Linked DNA regions of Drosophila melanogaster. The protein of the gene in region 1 interacts with the protein of each later gene in a pairwise test. Each region holds a gene or a part of one and is shown on either strand. Other genes may lie near its edges.

The links. Proteins that work in one complex are often made in the same cells at the same time.
Region 2: the proteins of CG18764 (region 1) and HP5 interact in a two-hybrid assay, tested with the Drosophila melanogaster proteins (one large-scale study listed by BioGRID).
Region 3: the proteins of CG18764 (region 1) and DnaJ-1 interact in a two-hybrid assay, tested with the Drosophila melanogaster proteins (one large-scale study listed by BioGRID).

The regions. Positions count from the first base shown.
Region 1 is NT_033777.3:11,623,452-11,629,655, forward strand, and holds CG18764 (uncharacterized protein), read left to right. Parts: upstream 1-3,437; 5' UTR 3,438-3,542; coding exon 3,543-3,659; intron 3,660-3,714; coding exon 3,715-4,601; intron 4,602-4,674; coding exon 4,675-4,785; intron 4,786-4,843; coding exon 4,844-4,958; 3' UTR 4,959-5,001; downstream 5,002-6,204. Other genes in the region: CG14711 (uncharacterized protein), read left to right, coding at 1-94, 150-275, 335-843, 906-1,040, 1,099-1,209, 1,267-1,384; CG6813 (uncharacterized protein), read right to left, coding at 2,060-2,174, 2,247-2,492, 2,552-2,964, 3,025-3,135; CG14712 (uncharacterized protein), read left to right, coding at 5,490-5,563, 5,630-5,797, 5,867-6,204.
Region 2 is NC_004354.4:11,451,950-11,461,217, reverse strand, and holds HP5 (heterochromatin protein 5), read right to left. Parts: upstream 6,433-9,268; 5' UTR 6,142-6,432; coding exon 6,027-6,141; intron 5,937-6,026; coding exon 4,731-5,936; coding exon of another isoform or gene 4,705-4,730; exon of another isoform or gene 4,634-4,704; coding exon of another isoform or gene 4,602-4,633; exon of another isoform or gene 4,564-4,601; coding exon 3,454-4,563; intron 2,989-3,453; coding exon 2,906-2,988; 3' UTR 1,991-2,905; downstream 1-1,990. Other genes in the region: CG43155 (uncharacterized protein), read right to left, coding at 1,094-1,336.
Region 3 is NT_037436.4:5,748,039-5,754,635, reverse strand, and holds DnaJ-1 (DnaJ-like-1), read left to right. Parts: upstream 1-2,446; 5' UTR 2,447-3,042; coding exon 3,043-4,047; 3' UTR 4,048-4,607; downstream 4,608-6,597.

The DNA.
Region 1 (6,204 bases):
CATCAACTCGGAGGCGATGGCGCCCCTGTTCGATGACAACGACGCCCAGTGCCGGGAGCTGGTGCGCAAGATTGAAGAAGTGGGCAGCATAAAGGTACATGTGGATGCAAATGTAAAATCCTGCGACTTAACCCACTCTGTGCTTTCAGCTGGTGCCGCTGCAGAACATCCCCAGTATGTTGTGCTACAGCTGCGTGGAGCGACTGACCAGTGCCCACAAGTTCCGGGAGCTTTGCCAGGAGAGCGAGCGCACATTTGCCACCAATGTAGTCAAGGTACGTATAGAGTTGATGGGCCACATATAAACATCCCACTTGACCCGGTACCATGTCAGGCCGAGATGAAGTCGGAGCCAACGGACGAGGTGCCGCACGTAGTGGCTGACAACATTGAGTACATCTACGAATCGGCCAACGACTTCATCGACGGTGTCGAGGATGACATCGGAATGGAGAACATCATGGAGGAGCCCCTGGAGGATGGTGTCGGGGAAACGTCGCAGGCCTACGAGACTAGCACTGTAGTGGACGACCTGGACGAGGATGACTTGCTGGTGCCGAATAGCACCGATAGCGACTACCAGCCCATCGAGCGCTGCCGCAAAGCTAAGGTGCGTAAAACGCGGATGACTAAACGTGGACGTGGCCGACCTCGCGGTGCTAGCTCCGGACACCCACGCAGTTTTAGCGAGGAGCGTCCGCCTGTTCAAGCTAGCTTCAAATCATCTCCCGAAGTATCCTCCACGAACATTATGTGCGAAATCTGCGGCAATATCTACTCCAAGCGAGCCGCTCTCAACATTCATATGCGTCGTCATATGGCCGAGAAACCATTTAAATGCGAGTGAGTATCTGAAATTATCATCTGAACCATTTTATATTATGTAAATCTTATTCCGCTTACAGAATATGCAGCAAATCCTTCGCGGGTCCATCCGAGCTAAATCGCCATATCCGCGTTCACACGGGCGAGAAACCATTCTTGTGTAAATATTGCAACCGCTCGTTTGCGGATCGCAGCTCCAATATTCGTCATGAAAGGTGAAGATGCAATTCCTCATAGTAATCTTCATATAAACTATACTTGTTCCTTTTGCAGAACACACACAAACGAGCGACCTTTCACTTGCTCCACATGCGGCAAGGCATTCTCCTACTCTAACGTGCTAAAAAACCATATGCTCACCCACACGGGCGAGAAGCCTTTTCTGTAGGTCCATTGACTGCTTTAATCATGTATAACCCTAAATTCCCTTTAATTTTTCAGCTGTCGAGTCTGCAATAAGACCTTTTCCCGCAAGCACCAGTTGGATCAGCATTTGGGCACCATGACCCACCAACAGACTGTAATACACCACAAAAACGAACGGACGGGGCGCTATTAGTCGAAAACAATGCAATACAATTTCTGTTAGATAATTCATTAATGTACATTTAATTATATATAAAAATTGTAAAATAAAAAAGAGTACAAATGGTCAGACCGGATGTGTAAAATAATCGGATTTGATTTATTACTATTTGGTTAAAGAACTTGTTCAAAAACACAAATATTTTTTGTAATGTTTTTTATTACGTCCATATATTCGAGAAAAAAATTGGAACACGATTACAATCTTTGATTTTGTGCGTTTATTTGGTAGTTTTAACATCATTTTGGCCATTAAATGAGTGTGCGTTTTTTATTGTTTCTTTTCTTTGTGCTCTGTCGAAGACTTTGTTACCGTTTGTGGAAGCTACAACATGGAATAATAATCGAATGGCACAGGATTAATTAAATCTTCTTTTTTTGGACAAGTAAATATGTTTTGTTTTTTTAGGTTTATAACTTGTAACGTTTTACATCAAAATCTAAAAACGTTTGGAAGTCGGGAGGGATGCGGCTCTTCTTCTATTCCTTAGGGAAACAAAAAGTAAAACCAAATATGCTAGATATTCGCATAAAATGGATTTATGCGAATACCTGTACTTAAATGTACGTCTACCTTGTTAAAGAAAAGGACGCGGAATTTTAGAATTCTTACCGATAGCTAATTAGTGTAATGGCTAGATAGGCAGCTTCATTGTTCAATGGCTAGCTCCGTGAGTTTCTCTTCTTTGCGTTTATGAATATTGCTGGACAGGTGGGTCATCAAATGGGAGATTCGTTTGAAGTGCTTCTGACATACGTAGCAGCTGTAAAATCAAAGTGTGTTGAAACGTGTAATACAAATAATGTGCAGAGTTGGCAGAAATCGAAATGCCCACTAGTGATTCCGCGCATCCACATGGATCATCTTGTGCTTCCTGAGACATCCGGAGCTTACAAAACTCTTTTTGCACGTGTCGCACTCGTAGCGGCGTTCGTTCCGATGGCGGCGATGGTGCTCCTGGCGAGCGCCTGAAGAGGAGAACCGACGTGGACAGTAGACGCACACGTATGGCTGCTCGCCCGTGTGGATACGCGTATGGCTAGTCAGTTCCTTTCGAGTTGCAAAGCTCCTTTCACAATTCCTGAGGAGAAAAATCGTATCTTAGGTGCACTAGCCCAAAGGAGGTTAAGGATAATTTACAAAAAAACACAGTGGAAATTCTTGATGCCTGTGTGCCGGAGCGTGTGCTCTTGAAAGTTTGACTTATTGTTAATGATCCTTCCGCAATCAGGGCATACATATGGACCAGTACCTCCTCCAATTGACTTTTGATGGTTCAAACTAGTCGGTGCTGAGACCTTTTCAGCACTTGGCATTGGAAGATCTTTGACTTCAGGACATAGAATGGACTCGTCCAACTCACTCTCAATTTGGTTATCATCGATGTCTTCGTATATTATTGGATCTGTGGAGCAATCCTTGCTGTCGCACTCAATCCTTTCCAGATTCTGTTTCTCGGCAATGATGCAGCGCTGGCGGAACTTAATGGCTGCCTGCAGATTGTCCAGGCAAGTCGTGCACATTTGGCCGGATATTTCTTTCTTGCAGCTTAGCTGGAAAGTATAAATAGCAAATTAAGTGCCATGATTAAGGAATATTTTTAGACATATTACCTCCACCCCAGTAATGGAGTGAATTTGACGAACTAGATGACCGTTTCCTGGACCAAAAAGGTCTATTGGGGCATCTGATCTAGAGCAAATGCGGCAATTCAGAATTCGCATCTCGACTTTGATTTGTTTTTGAATAATTGTTTACTGTTTACGTTTCGAGCAGCTTATGCGAAATGTGTCGTTAAGCTATTTGCATGGTCACTCTAACTTTTGCACGCATAAACGCTGTTTAGAGTTTTTGCACAGGGATTAGTACCTTATGAAGTAACATAAATACAAATATGTTTTATAATCTCATTTAATAAGAGTACCATAATGGTTTACTGCACTTTTTAAATCATTTAAGTCACACAATGGCATTGCCGCACTTATCGATTTTGTCGATAATAAAACCAGCTGTTGCATCACAATATATATACATACATATGTGTAGTGGATGCGTTTACAAAACAATTGGTTGTTTATATTCGAATTAAACTGAAGTTGGGCTAAACTTCGGTTGATTTTCAACTAACATTATGGCGCTCCAGTGCCGGACCTGCGGCAGCATCATCTACAATAAAATGCCCAAGAATCTCTTTCATATTGAGAACGAGAAGATGCTGCAAGACATAAATCTTGTCACTGGCACAACAGTATGTAAGAAAAATGGTTTCCATTTGATTTGTGCAGCATTTTCTGTGATTGCAGCTCCACAACGATCCAGAGCTGCCCAGCAGCATATGCGCCTGCTGCACGCTTGACTTGAACCAAGCGATTTTGTTCCGGGAGCGGTGCATCCTAACGCAGAAGCAGCTCGTCCATCGTCGTAGATCTCCCGAAGCGAAGGAACCGGCTGAAGATGTTGAGGAGATGGCATCACCGCCGGATTGTCTGAACGATCCATTCGGGGAAGTCGATGAATACATTGTGGAATCCCCAGAAGAAGTTTTGGATCATGATAGTGATGCTCATCATGATCTGGATGAGGATAATTATATTGATTCTGTTGAAGATGTTGATGCGCTTCAAGATATGGCTGAAGTAGCCGAAGAGGATTCTCAAGATGTCGAATCTCTGATCTCAAGTGTACAGAAAGAACTTGAGAGCATTTGCAACGACGACAGCAACTCGGATAACAACGATTACATGGAGCCCCAAAACGGTTCCTATTTCAATGAAACTATAAACGAATATGAAGTATCATCGAACCCAAACACACCGCTGCCCGAATCGAAGAGTGCAGCAGGTCGGTCAACGAAGCCAGCGACCACAAAACCCAAGCGGAAAAAACAGTACGTTACGTGGAAAAATATGACCGAGGAGCAGATCATAGAGCGTAAGCGACTGCAGCGTAAACGCGAGTGTGTTTGCGAACAGTGCGGCCGGCAATTCACCGACCAAAGCAATTTCAAGCTTCACATGCTGCGGCACACGGGCAATAAGAACTTCGCCTGCCAGCAGTGTGGCAAGCGGTTCTACACCGACCATCTCATGACGCTGCACCAACGAATCATTCACCAGGGCGAGAAGCCATACGACTGCCGCTTTTGCACCAAGTCCTTTCACAATAGCAACACTCGCCTCATCCACGAAAGGTAAGGGACGTATCCTTGTATCCACTACGGATTCGGACATTTCTGAGCTCAAACCAAAAAAAATCCTTTCTAGGACTCACACCAATGCCAAACCCTACAGCTGTCATCATTGCGATAAATGTTTTAAGTCAGCTTCGGGACGCAAGCGGCACGAACTAATCCATACAGGAGTGCGAGCCTTTGCGTGAGTATTTTTTGACTAGGCGTTGGTATTCCAAAATTTAATACAATTCCCTTTGCAGCTGCACCATCTGCAAACAATCCTTCCAGCGCAACACTCACTTAAAGGCCCATCTGCGATCTAAATTTCACACTGCAAAAGCGAAAACCATTGGTGCGGAGGTACTACAATTATAAGCTGATATAGTATTTAAATTAAAAAACAAGTATTAGATATAAGAAATAAAGCAATGTTTTCATTTAATTGGAGTGCAAACATTTAAATTGCGATAAAATTTTATTAACCCGATTTAATAATCGACACATGCTGCAGTGCAGCCCTGCCAATAAGTATCCAAGGTGGCAATCCTGACATATTTCAATATAAATTTGGAGTGAAAATAAGAATTTTTATTCAAGTTTACACGTCTGCCCGAAACTTCCAAATACATTTGACGGAGAAAGTATTAAACATTATTTTTTATCTTTAATCGTTTATTTAGCCAAAGGCTTAAAGATTTTGGTATATTTTGGCGCTTCACCAACGGTCACACAGTAACCATTTCCTATGAAATTCACATTGCATTTCTCTTTAGAATTAATAAAACTAAAAAAAGAAAGAAACGAGATTGCACACAATCGTTTACGACGAAGCTTGATTCACCCGCCAAAAGTGTTCCCCTCCGCCCGACTGCACTGTGAGAATACCGGTTGTTGACCTTCGGCAGCATGGAGCGTCGTCGCTTTAACATGAGCAGCATGTCACCCATGGCGGATTCCACGCGGATTGACGCGTCGCTGTTGTAAGACACCACCTGTCCAACTGGATTCTAAGCGGTTACTAATCAAATTTGCTCTCCTTTGTTCAGAAACAATCGTCCGGCGGCCAGTAATTTCCTGAGGGGACTGAGTCCCAAGGGGTCGAATACCTCGCTCAATGGCACACGCACTCCGGAGCGGTCCTTGATGAATCGCTCTGCCACATCGTCCAGTACCATAACGCGACAGAAACTGAACCTCAGTCAGGTTGATCCCAGGTAAGTCAAAGCTTGTGTGCCATTTCACGATGTGACGAAAGTGCAATATCAAATTTTCATACCTTTCAGAACCTTTGCCGATGTGCATAGCAGCGGACTGTCATCCCGGATCGTGGCCTTAAGCGAACGCAGTGGTCTGCAACGCAGCATGTCCGCCAGCAATCTTTACAATCCCTTGACGCAGCCGCGCAGAGCGCCCGCTTCCCCGTTGCCCTACAAGTCAAGGGCGCCGACGCTTTCGATCACGCAGATTGCACCACCGGAGCGCAGCTTTTATTCCGGAAACACGCTGTCAAGCCTGTTGCGATCCAACTCCTTGGTAGGGTTAGTGCCAAAGACCACCGAACAGGAGCAGCTTTCGAGAGAGAATCGACCCATATTGCACCCACCTCATCCACAGCATGAGA
Region 2 (9,268 bases), on another chromosome or scaffold:
ATCGGTATAAATAGCCTGCTTTAGATGCTCCTTAATGATGGCTACCTCCATCGTACTATATATCCTATACATATCAGACATTCTCGATAAGCTTCGACATTCATTCGTTTGGCTCATTTAGCCCGTCACCCACACCATCGTATCCATTTCGCAGTGGCCAATTGTTGTAGTCCGCGGAAATTGAGAGGCAATATAACAAATACCCACCCGGCACGACACTTGGCCATATGTCAAGTCGTGGGACACAGCAATTAGGACTCCTGGCTGCTTCAGCTCCAACCTTTGCCTTGGATTAACTGCAGCCAGTTGTAGTTTGCAGTCGTGGACAACTGACGGCATCAGTTCCAAATACACATATGTACATATATATACAAGTATATATGTATCTAGAACTTGGCCAAGAGCTGAAACCACGACGTCATTGGCGAAAATGTAAATGTTTAGACAAGGCCAAAAAGGCCTGGACGTGGTCCACATGATGCACTGCCTCCTGCTCCGCCAGCCAGACAGATTTGGGCGTCTGGATATGTGGCGATATATGTGTGCAGTGGCAATTAGGGGAGGCGGGGCACTTAAATGTACAAAATAGTTTTATGACTTAATTTTGGTCTAATTTTTACTATTTCCCACTGCAATAAATTTGCGCTCTGTTTGGGTTATTGTTTTTAATCGCATTGGTACAGTGCACGATCGTTGGATTCATAATTTTTTATATATGCAACATTTATTTGAAGGAAGGATATAGTGACTTAAATTTGTTGGCTTAAAAATGCATTAGAGGGATATTAAATATTTTCTTTTTAGGCCAAGTTAAATCCCCTGCTCGATTGGCCACTGTATTTATGTGTGTTTTGCATTTCTTTCTTGCTCCAAACAATTTGAACGCTAGCCATTTTTCGGCTTTTCGCCCAACAACACAAATCATTTTGCATGTTCGCGGCAGCCGCAAAAGGCGAGCCAAAGGTAGGGGGGGATGGAAAAACAAAAATAAATAAATAAAAACATATTGAAAATAATTAAATATTTGCCTAGTTATGTTCGGGTCTGCTGGGCACCGAACTGGGCACACACGTTGCCCCCCACCATCGCTTACCAATCCGCCCACGCCGCAGTAAATGGACAGGGAGACGAGCAGTCCGATGTGATTGAGCGCCGACTTCCACTTCATCGACTGCCAGCAGGCGGTGCTCCTTCGTCCGCCGGCGGTTCCCTTGGCCAAGCCACCACCCTCGGCGGCATCCACACGACGGTCGAGATGCTTGAGCTTCTCCAGCAGCTCGGTGCTGGCCTCATCCTGCGAATCGTACTCCTTCACCGTCACCTTCTTCATGGGCATTCTGCACTCCGTTTCTGATTGTTTTGGCCGGCCTATGCCTAAATTACTTGTGCTATCATTTAATAGTGTGTTTTTTTCTTTCTTTTGTTTATATCTATTTAATTTCTTTCTTTATTTTCTTTTTGGTTTTCAGGGGCCCGGCCCGCTTTGGTCCTGTGAGTTCAACATTTCGGGGGCACGTCTCACGCAAAGGGGCAACTTTTGAAATAGTTCGCACTCGCGCCAAACGATCTGGAATTTTGACGCGGCCCCAGAATCCCGAGGAGAACCAACCGTCAACAAGTCAAAGTTGCGACTGTTTTGCTTTTGGCGCTGCATTGGATACGCGGGGCTCTGCATGAAAGGTGGCCACCTTTGGGGGCAAGCGTGTGGCAACATGTGGCAACGTTGGCCGCGAAACTGAACGAACGTAAAATCGTTGCATAAATTCGAAATAATACTTATTATAATAAGAATATATAAGAACGGAAACGCTGAGCGATGGTTGCTTGTGTATAGAAACATTTTATTATATTAATTATATAATAGAACATTAATAAAAACGAGCTTAAGTTATCCTGTGATTGATAAATATATCAGAAAGTTAAGTGTGTGTTGTTCATAAAGCAAGATAACATCTTTCCATTTATCTATTCAAATTAGTCACAAAAAAATCTCTTTCTAGCACATTAAATTTATTCAATCTGTATAAATTAACTGTAGAATATTCTGTGAAAAAAAAAACATGTTAGGTAATAAAAATAACATCATTTTTACATAGCTTAAAATAAACGGTACAAGACTTTTCACAATATGGCAACGTCAATGTTCGAATGTGGCAACATCTTCAAATGGCGGCAAATTTCGAAAAAGTTTCTCAGCCAATCCCATTGAAAACTGGCAACATATTTTATCCATTTTTAATCTGTTTTCTTTTTACATACATACATTTTATGATGATGATGTACATTAATACATTGAACTTACAGTACATTTAAGACGATCCATACTTAAATATATATATTTATATTTATATATGTGCATGAACGCAAGTGTTTCTTAAATCTAAGTTGTCAAAAAAAAAAAGGATGAGAAACGAACAATACGTATTCTTGAAAGTCAAACTAACGTAACGCTCTGTTTAAGTAGCTTAAACATTGAAAATTGATTTTCTGATTCCGCTTAACCGTTAATAATATTAAAATATTAATTTTTACGGTCTATCGCACACATTTGCAAGTTGAGTGAGTGAGCTGTGTTAAATTTTGTCCCTGTTTTGCTGACTAATTTAGCAATCATATAAGTGCAAAATATTAACGTTTGCACCAATAGCTTTCTCTTGCAAAAATACTTTGGTATTTTCAACGTGAGTTTGCATATAAATTGAATATGTCTTTAAAAATAAACGTAAGACTACTTCTTGATCGTAGGGAGAACTAATTATAAATTCAGTTAAATGTACAAATTAATCGGTCCTTAATAAACCTACGTGTGTGCGTGTGAGTTTGTAGCTATGTCTGTGTCTGTGTGTATGCTTCGGTTTCGATCTGTATCTGTCTATCTGTACTTGGTGCGCAATTTGCCAGCTTACTACGATTCTAACGCGGTCATTATTTCGTCCAGTGTACCCCTCGAGATGGCATGGCGGCTGGAGTTCAACTGAAAGTTGGGTTCTAAAAGGCATAAGCAGAGCAAATAGTTATTAGAAGGTGCATTCAAATTAACATTTACGAAAGTATGAAATATAAGCAAGTTCAAATTGCAACTGGAAATTGTGCATTGCCTATACACTTACACTTAATTAAGATACCCAGACTTAGAGAAGACCAGAGAAAGTACAAAAAATGCCTATTAAGTAGTTGTTTTAATGACAAATGTACGCAACGGGCGAATGTTCATTAAATCAATCAATGGAATGCTTGACCAATGACCAAGTGTCACTAGAGCTTTAACGTAAGAGTTTTTGGCCTCACAAAATAGAGAAGTTTCGTGAAAAGCGAGACTACTTGGCAAGAATTAAAGTAGAAAATGACGTACTTTACTGTCTTGAAGACTTAACAGTCCCCACTTGTACTCCCTAAGTATTCATGCTATTATTTGAGATTGCCTTGCGATGGAGGCGATCGTCTGGCACTCACCGGATAGCTGGTCCATGATGACGTCATCTAGCGTGGCCATGGGATCCTCCATGGGCGAGTAGTATGTCGTTGCCGTTGATCTGGATTCGCTGGTGGGTTCACCATTCACTGTCCTGGGCGCCGAGGGCGGGGTCATAAGCTCGGCCGGCAGTTCGGGTGAATCGATGGGATCACCGATGATGGTTGCTGCTGTTTGTTGATCCTCGTCATCGTTCGGCGCTTTGCTTGCTTTCTGCTCTGTTTCCTCAATGGCTTGTCCAGCTAGCAGCTTGGCGTTATCGCTGGCGGACTTAAAGCTGCAATCGGAGTCACCGGAATCGAGGCGACTGCGCGATTTGGGCGTACTCTGGCGGGATGATGGCGTATGCAATTGACGGACATCGTCCAACGACGTCTGGATCTCCAGCACGTCATCTTCGTTATCGTCAGTTGTGGACGGGAGCTGTGGTGGGGTCGGCAAGTCACTGAACTCCTCGGCATGCTCGACCTCGTCCTCTACTTTCTCAACCCTGTCTTCGTTCGTTGGTTTTTCTAAAGATTTGACGGCGTTATCGCTGATTTCAGCTGCATTTTCCTCCAGATTTTTCTCGTCCTCGTCTAGCAAAACTTCTTCTCGAGCATCTTCCGATTTTTCCTCCGAATTGTCAGCCTCTTTTAACTCTGGCATATCTTTTACTACTTTTTTTTCCTTCGCCTCATCTGTATTTTTCTCTGTTGCATCCACAAATTGTTCTTCTCTATCTCTTTCTACTTCATTTGTCTCAGTTTCGTGTGCGTCTCCCTCTCGCTCATTCGTTTCGATTTCCTTCACTGGTGGTTTGATTTCGACATCAGGATCGGAGGATTCAATTTCCACAACTGGTGAGTTTTCCGTTTTTTTCTCCTTTTTCGTTTGCATTTTGTCAGTCGTCTCCTTTTCGTTTAGCATCTTGTCCGTCTTTTTGTTTGATCTTTCTTTTAGGGGTTTTGGCTGCTTTTTTTGTGCATCCTTCTGCTTTTTTAGTACCGGCTTTTCGTCCTCATCATCACTGATGGTCGTGGTGAAGGATATCTTCTTTTTCTTGGGCGGAGGCGTTCCAGATCTCTGGGACCCCGGCACATCGTTGGGCACTGGACGTAAAAATGGAGAGAATTGCATTAGTTTTAGCTCAATTCTTCTTTAATTTGATTTGGTCAAATCCTGTCATAAAAATAACGAAATCATTTAATACAAAATGAGACATGATTAATGCGATTACATCGAGTTTGATGTCAGTTTAATAAGTGCATCCTCCTACCTATATACTCCTCATCGTCATCATCATTATCTCCACCTCCATCAGACCTGGAGGAGCTGTTGTCTATGCTTAGGCGGCCCAACCTGCGTAACTTGAGCCTTCCGACCACAGGCGTACCGTTGCATGAGCGGCGCCTAACCCGCTCGCGCGAGCCTCCAGAAGATGACGAGAAGAGCGGCGTGGAGGTCAGTGCTATGTCCTCCAGCACATTGCCAGTGGCATCCACACGCTGCAGTCGTGTCGGTTTCGGAGCTCCTCTCGATGAAAGCGAACCGAAAGTAGACCGACGTGATGGACCCCCGGGGCTGCCCAGAATCTCGACGGCCTCGCTGAAGGATACCGCCTTCTTGGGATACACCTTCCTGACAACTCCGTCGCCAATGGGAGGCGGTTTGCAGTCAGGCCACTTGGCACTTGGTAAACGCGTCCTCCTCACCTTCACCACACAGCCAAAGAAATGCGCGCCATAACGCTTAACCAAATCCGGATCGGTGTTGCGTCCGCGACTGGATAATCTCTTCGCCTTGATCTTGGGCTTGGGACTTCGCTTCAGTGCGGAGTGTGTGCTTTCAGAACTCTTGGCCAAACTGGGCGGCGGTGTATGAGCGCGCAACGAGTGGTTCAGAGCACGCTTTTTGGCGCCATTCTGCAAAGGAACTTTGATGTGGAAATTGGTCTGCGCTGTTGATGACTTTTGTTTCTTAGGTGACGTTTTTCTCTTTTTGTGCCTGCTACGGCCACTAGTACCGCTCTGGTTAACGATCTCGGGCACATTGATAAATGATGAATTGGCCAAAGATTCGACGGCCGAATCGATTTCTGTCTGTTTCAGGCGACGTAATAGCACCCGCACCTTTCTTTTAACATTCGGCGACTGCTGATCGCTGAACATCTTTTGCTGAGCCTTCGTCTTGGTGGGAACGACCACCATCGATTGCTGGTCCTCCTCGATGGCCTCGCCGTCGTCGTCAATGGACACTTTTGGCCTCTTGTTGTGCGGCGTCGATGCAGAGACAGTGGATTTCCTGCTTTTGTTTGGTTTTGAGTTAGCCACGCTCTTACGCTTCCTCTTGGCCAATGACTCGTCGAGATGGTCGAATGATGTTTCCGAATCAAACAGATCAATGCTGCACTGTTCGACATTCTTTGATTTTCTCGACATGCGCAAGTCATTCTCGTCCAATTGGTTTCCACTCTCCAGGAGGTCTGACAGAAAATGGAAAAAACGATTGGAGGTTATTAAACTTCTAGGATTGCCAGCCAATTTGCAGGCAAACAAAATTATGCTCAATTTACCATTTACGTCGATTGGCGAATCGGGCGGTATGGGCGACGGAGTGGAGAGCTTGGTGTCCACCGGATTAATAGTTTGCGGCGGCGGCGCCGCTTTGACCATATCAAAAATATCCATTATCGCAGGTTTCAGCCCTTTGCGATTTTCCCACGAAAATGAAAATTAGCAAAGAGCGCAGATTTACCGCTTTAAAATATACGGTTAATATGCGCTTACAGATGTGTGTTTTGCGCAATTAGTGAGGCCACTGTACCACGGACTAATTGTGGCGCGAGGAGCACTCGATTTGCCCACTTAATCAGCAGATGCGACTTTTAAAATCGCGTTTGCATTCAGGTAACTTTCCTGATTAATTTTACACACTCCTAAAGACGCCATCTAGCTGGTGTGCCCGTGCGCAGATACCGCGAAAATATTTCACCGCCTCGGCGCATTTTTATGGGTTATTTATGTCGCCAACAATCATTAACCACAAAATGTATTTTAAATTTATCAACAAATAGCCTATTTCCTATCATTAAACGACAAAGATCTTATGGACACTTTTCATCAATGGAATGCTGAACAACAACTTATTACTCTGAGCAACATAACTCCATTAAGATTCATACTTATCTCATATGGTTGAATGTTTCAAAATCATTTACAAACATGTAATAACAGCACTTGCAGCCCACTGTACAGGTTTGAGTCTGTGCTAAACAGCTATCATTGGTATTTTTGGTATTATTCAAATAATCGATAATGCAGTAGAAACTTTTCTATCGGTTATCAGCTATCTGCGCTTCAGAGAATTTTAGTATATGGTAATACTTATTTAGCGGCTTACTTCAGCTTTTGCGCGACGGTCACACCGCCAGTGGGCGAAAAAAAACATTCGTGAATTCACCGTCGTCGAACGAACGCTGTATTTTTTTCCAGTGCAATATTCGGTCGATGTATAACGAGTGATTGAATTAAAGTAGTCCTTTTAAAAAAAGTACTAGTATTTAAATAAAAATAAAGTCATACAGAACAGCATAGGGAGAGAGGGCGAGAGAAAAAATTGCTGCTGCTGAGGTGTGTGCAATTGCCTGTGCGTGTGTGTGTGTGTGTGTTTGTGTGACGTTTACAGCAGCAAAAAGTTCGGTAGTGTCGTCAAAATAATCGTGTATTATAAAGTTAATGCAAACGATTCTCGATCGGATACGAGTTGATCGCGACATATTGAGTTCGTCGAATGTGGAAAAGTCTAGCTGATTGAAAACGAAACGCGGATAAAAAAAAAACGATAAACAACGGCAATTTGTTGCTGCCGCAACAGCAACAACAACAGCAGCAGCGCACTAACGCAACCACCACCACCCCCTGTTCCAGCCTAACGGTTCATTTACAGTGGCCGAAGAAGCAGCAGCAAAGGTGAGGTTCCAGCATCTTTATTTATATTTTATGTGTCGTTCTTCTTCATCATCTTTACTTCTTCCGTAAAAAAACTCAATGTGTGTGTGTAAACATTATCAACGAAAAAAGTGGAGTGGGAAAAAATACAGAAACTTTCTTTCGCTGTCTGTGTGGGTTTATGCTCGCGTGTGTGTGTCTGTTGCTACCTTTTTTTTTTTACAAATTAGCGAAGCAGCAAAAGAAAATCGGGTACAACTAATTTTGTATGCTTAAATTTCGCGCATTAATGTAATTAAAAGCGTCCATTGTCCATTGTTCATCGCTCATTGTCCATCATCATTCATCATCGTTCATCATCGTTCTTTGCAGCTTCGCTGAGCAACAACAACAACAATGACAACAGGGCAGCCCTGCTCTTACTTCCTTTTCCATTTCCATTCCTATTGCCATTCCCATTGCTCATTTCCCATTGCCCGCTTCCCTTTCCCAATTCCTCTTTCCCAATTCGCTTTGCTCTTCCACTCCCACCGCATCAGCTGCTCCTGCCACTAGTTGTTGTTGTTGTTCCTGCTCTGTTGTAACCTTGTCTTGCTCTCCTTTCCTTTGCTTTCCACCCACTTTTCGTGGGCCCAACGCACAGTGGGAAAATTCAGCAATCGAGGGAGGGAAAAACTATTTGCCAGTTATAAAATGGAAATGGAAATCGAAGAATAATGACTCTACGTCCACTCTTCTGTAAACCATTAATTACGACCAATGGCTTAGTAATATTTAAAAATAACATCTAATCTTGTTCTCCAATTTTCACTGTGCATCTCTCCATCTCGCTCTAGCCCGCTCTGCGCCTGCGCATTGCCAACTCGGCGACACCTTGCAAGCAGCGTTGCCACCTTGCACATGGCCTACGTAGACGCAACGAACAGTGGGGGTGAAAAAACTAGCATTAAAAATAGTAAATTGCTAGCTTATTAAGCTTCATTGTTGTTTGTTTAATATGAATACAGTTAATTTAACGCTTTCATTGCATTAAAAACAAACTGGCTGCAGCGAATTTCGTCGAAACTAGCTAAAAGATTGCTGAACTCTTGTTTATCTGCCGGTCGTGATAAGCTTTGTATCCGTATGTAGATTACATATACGTGCAACTGAGGGCTTTCTGCTAAATTATATCGAGATCTTAAAGATGCCCAAAGGCAGACAAGTGCTCAGTTACTTTATACTTTACTTTGCTTTGGAAATGCAGCCATAGTCCTTTGACCTCTGCTGTACCCGACCCATCGCACTCAAGTCTTTTGTTTTTGTTTTTTTTTTTTTGTGCGTGGGGATTGTTGCGTGCTTATTCAAATTTCAGTTGTGCTATTTATTTAAATCACGAGCATTAAAACTAGTGGAGCACATAGAGCAGAAAGTCATCGTCATGTTAATTATGATCATAAATTTGCAGAGCTCGTGGGTGTGTTGGTGTATCATCCGTCATTATCTGGAGAAGGTTGGGGCAGGATAGCCTTCATTCTGCCTTCTCTGGCCAACAAAAAAAAAACATATACATATATAAAAAAAAGATAAATAACAAAAGTCAAGATACTTTTTTTGGGTTATTTCAAACGGAATTCTTTTTGCGTTTAGCGGGTTTTTCAACTATCTGCTCAAGTGTTTTCGCCATGTTTCATTATTTGCATTGTTTTATGATATTTTGGCGGTTGTTTGTTGCTGCTTATTATGTTGCCCATTTCGATCGCGCGAGCTTTCGACCTTCGCCGCAAAGCCGCAAAAAATATATGTCAAAAATAATTTGCACTTGAGTCTGTTTCCCTATCGGCGTTTATTTTGTATTTATGTATGTATACATATTTTTTAACGGATC
Region 3 (6,597 bases), on another chromosome or scaffold:
GTTGGTCGGGTATTACAGAAACCGATATCGCGAGTTATCTATGCCATATACACGATCCAATGGGGGGACGGCGGGAGGGGCAACAGTCATGCTCGCATATATTTGTGCTATTTTTGAACTATTTCGGTACTGCGAAATCTATGTGATCTACAAAAACCATGAGATGTCTGAGATATGACTGCTGAGTGCCGGAAATTGTAGGATTCTCGATTCCCGATCATATAATGCATTCTCGAACAGAAAATCTCCATTACGAAATGCTTTCTATTCTTAGGCGTCGCACAACTTTAATTGGAGCTTCCAATGTTGTGTGAATAAGTGTGTATATATCCGTGGTCTATATATGCAACGGATTTTGGTGAGTTTTACCGTCTGTGTCGGAACTGAGTGTGCCGAAATCTTTCCGAACTAGAAGACCGCACCGTCAACGCACGGCATAGTTCACGCGTGTACTGGCCGCTTAGGATGCCGATGCCGATTCCGATTGCGATCCGAAGATACACCACCCGATCTGGCGCCCGATCTTTGGCGAAGCGAGCTACGTGTTAAGTTCTCGGCGTGATGTACTATAACAATGAGAAACAGTTTACTTATCTGGCTTACACTTCAATAGGAAAACAATACTTTTATATAGCTTCTATAACTTCGGGGTGCGATAAGAACATGAATACAGATACACGGATTGCAACAGTACCCAAGCCACTTGTTTTAAACAAATAACAGGATAATGGGGAGTAATGTAAGCTATTGACTGGGTTACAATCAGGGGTCTGATAACAATCAAACATTGTCCAGTTGCCTTTTGCGAATATCAATGACCACTCACGAGTTGCAACTGATAACGATTATCGCCGCACAATGCAGTGGGTGGGTATTTCACTGGGGGGAACTTTTGGGTCCCTAGAACCCAGACGGATTACTCAATGAATATAGGCGATATGTTTGGGTTTACAGCGAAAGTGCTATTAATGTCGACCGTATGCTCTCTTCGATGTGCCAGCTCTCTATTTGCGGGAATGAATGACTATTTTTATGGGTCTGCCGTCGCTGCTACAATGCTGCATTGCTGCAGTGGGACATCCTTTGAACAGGCGCCATGCCAAAGGATATTCTTTGTGGAAGGGGGGGGGGGGGCAAGGGTTAAGGGTCACATTCGTTTGCGCAATACTTCCAGCGATGGGGCGGTGAACGGTGGGCGGGGCGATCGGTCAAGGCTTCGACTGTGGAACGTGACACGCATATGTCGGCCGGAGTTTGGCCCAAAAAGTGGCCCCAATGGTTGTCCTTCGCGCTGGCAATTAGTCCCTAGCAAGGCGCGTCCATATTTTGCAAAAATTCGTGGGGCGCCTTGTTTTCTTCTCTCTGTATGTGTGCATGTGTGTGTACCTCCGTCTCACTCACCTCAAGTGTGTGTGTGTGTATGAAAATACTGCGGTATACGGCTGCGTTTGTGTGTGAGTGTGGGTTTCGGCTCTACTCTCCCGATGATCCTGCTCCTCCGGTCCTAATCCCGGCCTGCTCGGCTGCTCCTGCGTCCTGACTGCGCTAGAAATTCGCTTAAAACGAGCCTCGACGGGTCATTTTTACAATTGTTTTTTGTTGTTCCGTTCGGCTGTTTTACCAGACGTGCTCGTTCCGGTGTGACTGCCCGCCGCTGACTGTAAAATACTAAACGCATTGCAGCTGTGGCAATGCCCAAGTCTTGGTCTTACGGTCACACTGGCAAAGTTTAAAAATTTATTTATTTCAACTTTCAGTTACTTTTCGTTGGCTTGAATATTACACTAAGAATTCAATTTGACACTTGCAATTTATACATTGTATATTATAATATATTATATGTATTATATTTTATATCATATAAAGATATTTATATCTATTGATCTTTTGATTATAAGCTCTTTGGTTGAACAATATAAGTGCAACTTTCTCCATCACCTTCCTATCTTTTTACAATATGCTTACCTCGTCAATACGTTTTTTCTATTTCAAATATTTCAATATTTCAAAGAAATATTTTGTTTATTTTTCTGTGTGTTTTTAAGCAATCTGACCCCTGTAGAAGAATCCCTTATAATATTAACAAATGTATCCTCAAAATAGATCGATCTCTATCTTCGCAGACTTACACGAAACATTCCAGAACCGATAGTTTTATGCGATATATGAGATTTAAGGAGTACTTTCCGCATTTCGCCATCACAGTCACGCTTTCCTTGGCATTTGCAATCAAATAAGCGCTAATAATAATCGTAAAAGCATAAGAAGCATATAAAGAAGAGTCACCGCCAAAAGCATGCACAAATATATATAAATGGGGAGCGATTTAAAAACAGTGCACTGTGTTTAAAACATCGACAGCTATCGGTTAGCATATCGATATTGACATTCGCAGTCAAACGTTTTCGAGATACAACCCTAAAATCCGAGAAGCATCCAGAAATTTCGACGTAGACGAGGGCGAACCTATAAAATGAGGTTGACGCACGAATCCCGCTCATTATTAAACAAAATTTTGAAGAGAAAGAAACTCTGAAGTAGGGTGTGTTTTTAGTGCGCAAGCCACATTTGGTGGATAAAGAAAAAAGCGAAGAAGAACAATTGAATTGAATCAATTGCGAGAAAGAGACAAAACTCATAAATATTTAAAGAACATTGCCCCGTGAAAATATAAATAGTGTGAATACACAGTGAACAATACCAACAATTGCACTTTGCCATTGCATTTTGCACTTTTCCACTTGGATTTTTGAACTTTTACGGATTCCCAGACAATCGCTTACATTTAAGGTAAGCTTCGTTGGACATATTGCCACATGTGGGCGCATCGATTTGATCTGCTGAAAGAAGCACATCGGGAGCGGAGCTCTCGTTGATGGTGACTACATACGTCACTCGCGTGACAACACGGCAGTTGCACAACTGTGCTGTTCTGTGCTTCTAGCACTTTCCATCGCCCCAACCCAGCAAGCTGGCAATCAGTATTCATTCTAATCTATAGCGTTCGTTCGTTTGTGTTTCCCCTATATTTTCAGCTGAGAGATGGGCAAAGACTTCTACAAGATTCTGGGCCTCGAGCGCAAGGCCAGCGACGATGAGATCAAGAAGGCCTACCGCAAACTGGCACTCAAATACCATCCCGACAAGAACAAGAGCCCACAGGCGGAGGAGCGCTTCAAGGAGATCGCCGAGGCGTACGAGGTGCTGTCGGACAAAAAGAAGCGCGACATCTTCGACAATTACGGTGAGGATGGATTGAAGGGCGGACAGCCGGGACCAGATGGCGGCGGTCAGCCGGGAGCGTACACTTACCAGTTCCACGGCGATCCGAGGGCCACATTTGCCCAGTTCTTTGGATCGTCGGATCCGTTTGGCGCGTTCTTTACCGGCGGCGATAACATGTTTAGTGGCGGTCAGGGCGGCAATACCAACGAGATCTTCTGGAACATTGGCGGCGACGATATGTTTGCCTTTAATGCCCAGGCACCCAGTCGCAAGCGCCAGCAGGATCCGCCCATCGAGCATGATCTGTTCGTGTCGCTGGAGGAAGTGGACAAGGGATGCATCAAGAAGATGAAAATCTCACGCATGGCCACCGGAAGCAATGGGCCGTACAAGGAGGAGAAGGTGCTGAGGATCACAGTGAAGCCGGGCTGGAAGGCCGGTACCAAGATTACCTTCCCCCAAGAGGGTGATTCGGCGCCAAACAAGACGCCAGCTGACATCGTCTTCATCATTCGCGACAAACCGCATTCGCTGTTCAAACGCGAGGGAATCGATCTAAAGTATACAGCCCAGATCAGTCTGAAGCAGGCCTTGTGCGGAGCACTGGTTAGTGTGCCCACGCTGCAGGGCAGCAGGATACAGGTGAATCCGAACCACGAGATCATCAAGCCCACCACAACGCGCCGGATCAACGGACTGGGTCTGCCGGTGCCCAAGGAGCCATCGAGGCGCGGCGATCTGATCGTCTCCTTCGACATTAAGTTTCCCGACACACTGGCACCCAGTCTGCAGAATCAGCTGTCCGAGCTGCTGCCCAACTAGGCTAGAGCTGTGCCAGCCACACACACACACACACACACGCATATAATTGTTATCACTTTAGTTAAGGCCTATATTTAATTTACCGTACGTACTCGTAAGACAACTTAGCCTAACCAATTGTAGCCCTAAGCTAGTGAGTGTGCCAAGCGAAGAGCTGTAGATATTGGCCGAGGATGCAAGCGCTGGATAGGATTAGGAAAGAGAACAACACACACACACACACACACATAAAGCAGCCCGTGTAGCCCGTTTCGTGTTGGAGACTGATCGATTATTAGCTATTTAGCATTACACAAATTCCATAAGTTGTTTTGTTTACCGCCACATGAATCGGTGCCTCAACATCTTATACATAATAATCCCAAAACAAAATATTAAATAAATGAGGTATTATAAATTTAAAGTAACTAACCATTTTTCAAGCAAAGCACATTTTCGGCATTCCAACACGGGGAGGTTACATCAGTTAGTAGAACACTTATAGATTTATACGCCGTAAGGACATAGTACGTTTTAGTACCAATTCTATTATGTTATAAACAATAAAATTACTTATACACACATCAAGTGTCGTTTCTGGGTCAGTGGGTTGCAAGCATTATAGAAATTGCTAGATTTCACGTGGTGGCAATCAAAATGTGGTGGCTAAAACCAAAACAACATGTATTGCTGGCAATTTCTTCTATTTTTAAATATATATAACTAGCGCGCCAAACAATTCAAAAGTCTCCACATGTGGAAACTTCCAGAGGGCAACACGCCACCTGGCGTGTATAGATCGTGTGTTACATTTCAAAAACCATCTGGCATCACTGGCAACGTTTGTTTAAAACGTCGAGTGGAAAAGATGAAATTTAAAATAAAATCGTTGTTTAAAATCCTTTTTCCAAAACCTGAAATCCCCGAAAGCCAAAAAGAGAATCAATAAAAAGAAATTCCATGTTAATTTTATTTTAAATTTCACATTTTATTTTCATTTGTTTTCTCTTCAAAAGGATTTCGTAATTTAATCATTTGTCACACATTTTCACTATCCTTATGTTGAGTGTTAAGTTGCATTTGCAATTGTATAATCATTGTGTATTTCTTTTTACTTTCTTTACTGTTGCATATTTGTTTTTTTTTTTTATTCTCTTTTTCAAAAAGTATTAACATCCATTTCATGTTCGTTTTTGTTGTAATATATTTTTGTTCTTCTTGTTTGCAGCTGCTAATTAGGTTTACAATAAAAATTGAATTTCAATGTTGCTGTCTGCTGTTGTCCATTCGAAAATGGCAACATTTGTTTCCAATCCTGCTGCATTTTGCTATTGATTTCTGTTTCGAATTTGGTTTTCGTGTGTGTGTGTGTGTGTGTGTGTGTGTGTTGTGTGGCTGACTTATAAATTGTATTTAATATGCAATTGTTACCCTCGTTTTTCCTGCTGCCTCGTTCGCTTGTCGAAAGGAAAGTGTGATAAGAGATACATGTACATATAACTAACAATACGCTTAAACAAATCAAATATCCGATAACAATTTGTTAAAAGAGATTCCAGTGCATTGTGTGCACGTGAACTTAATTAAATGAGTACATTCGTTTGGTTCTCAAACATTCGTATAATAGTGACTATGTATGTATATATATTTAATAAAAATGCTTTAAAAATAGTCAAATGCGTACAAAAAGTTTCACGCCACGTTCATTCGCCATCAAATGAGTTTCATAATTTAACTATTTCATTTCGCTAAAGTCTTCCAACTGACTGTTGGTTTTTATTGTTAATCATTATAATTATTATTTATGTACGTTGCCTCTGTCGAACTTATACAAACTGTAAAAATTATGTTAAAATGTTGTGATTTGGTATTTGGTAAATTTCTCCTTGTTTTGTCCCGTGTTTGATTAGCTTTCATCTTCATAATCATCCTCATCGTTGATGCGATGATGAAGATCTATCATTAGACTGTTGTATACATTTAGAATTTCTATTTACTCTCCACATCATATAGCTGTCTATGGTCTGTAGTTTCAATTATTACGTTTTTCTTAGTTTTTCTCATTGTTTAATTCGAGTTTATTTTTTGTATATTTAATTCAATTTGATTGGAAACCTAAAAAATGTTTTGATTATGTTTCGATTTGTTGCTATATGGTTCAATGAGTTTATGACGTTTTTCTGAGAGTGGGTGGAGGGGGGGGGGTGGCGTACAAAATGAATGAGTGTGAGCAATGCAACTGCAAGTACACTGAAAAAAAAAAGACAATTGCCACTCACACGCACACTGCTGTGTGTGCGGCCAGTAAAATAAACAAACGTTCAGCAATTGGGGATTTCATTGTTCCTGAATCGAATTAACATCCAAGCTGCATTCACAACCAATTAATTATTATTTCTCATCTGGTAGAATTTTTTCATTGTATTCGATTATATATTTGCATCGTCTGGCTAAAAATTCGTCCTACAAAAATTGAAAACCATAGGGTATTGAGACGTAGGAAAATCAAAAGTATCCTTTAATCGAGTTCTCGAAAACTGTGCCTTTGTCTATGGGATTTTTTTTTTTTTG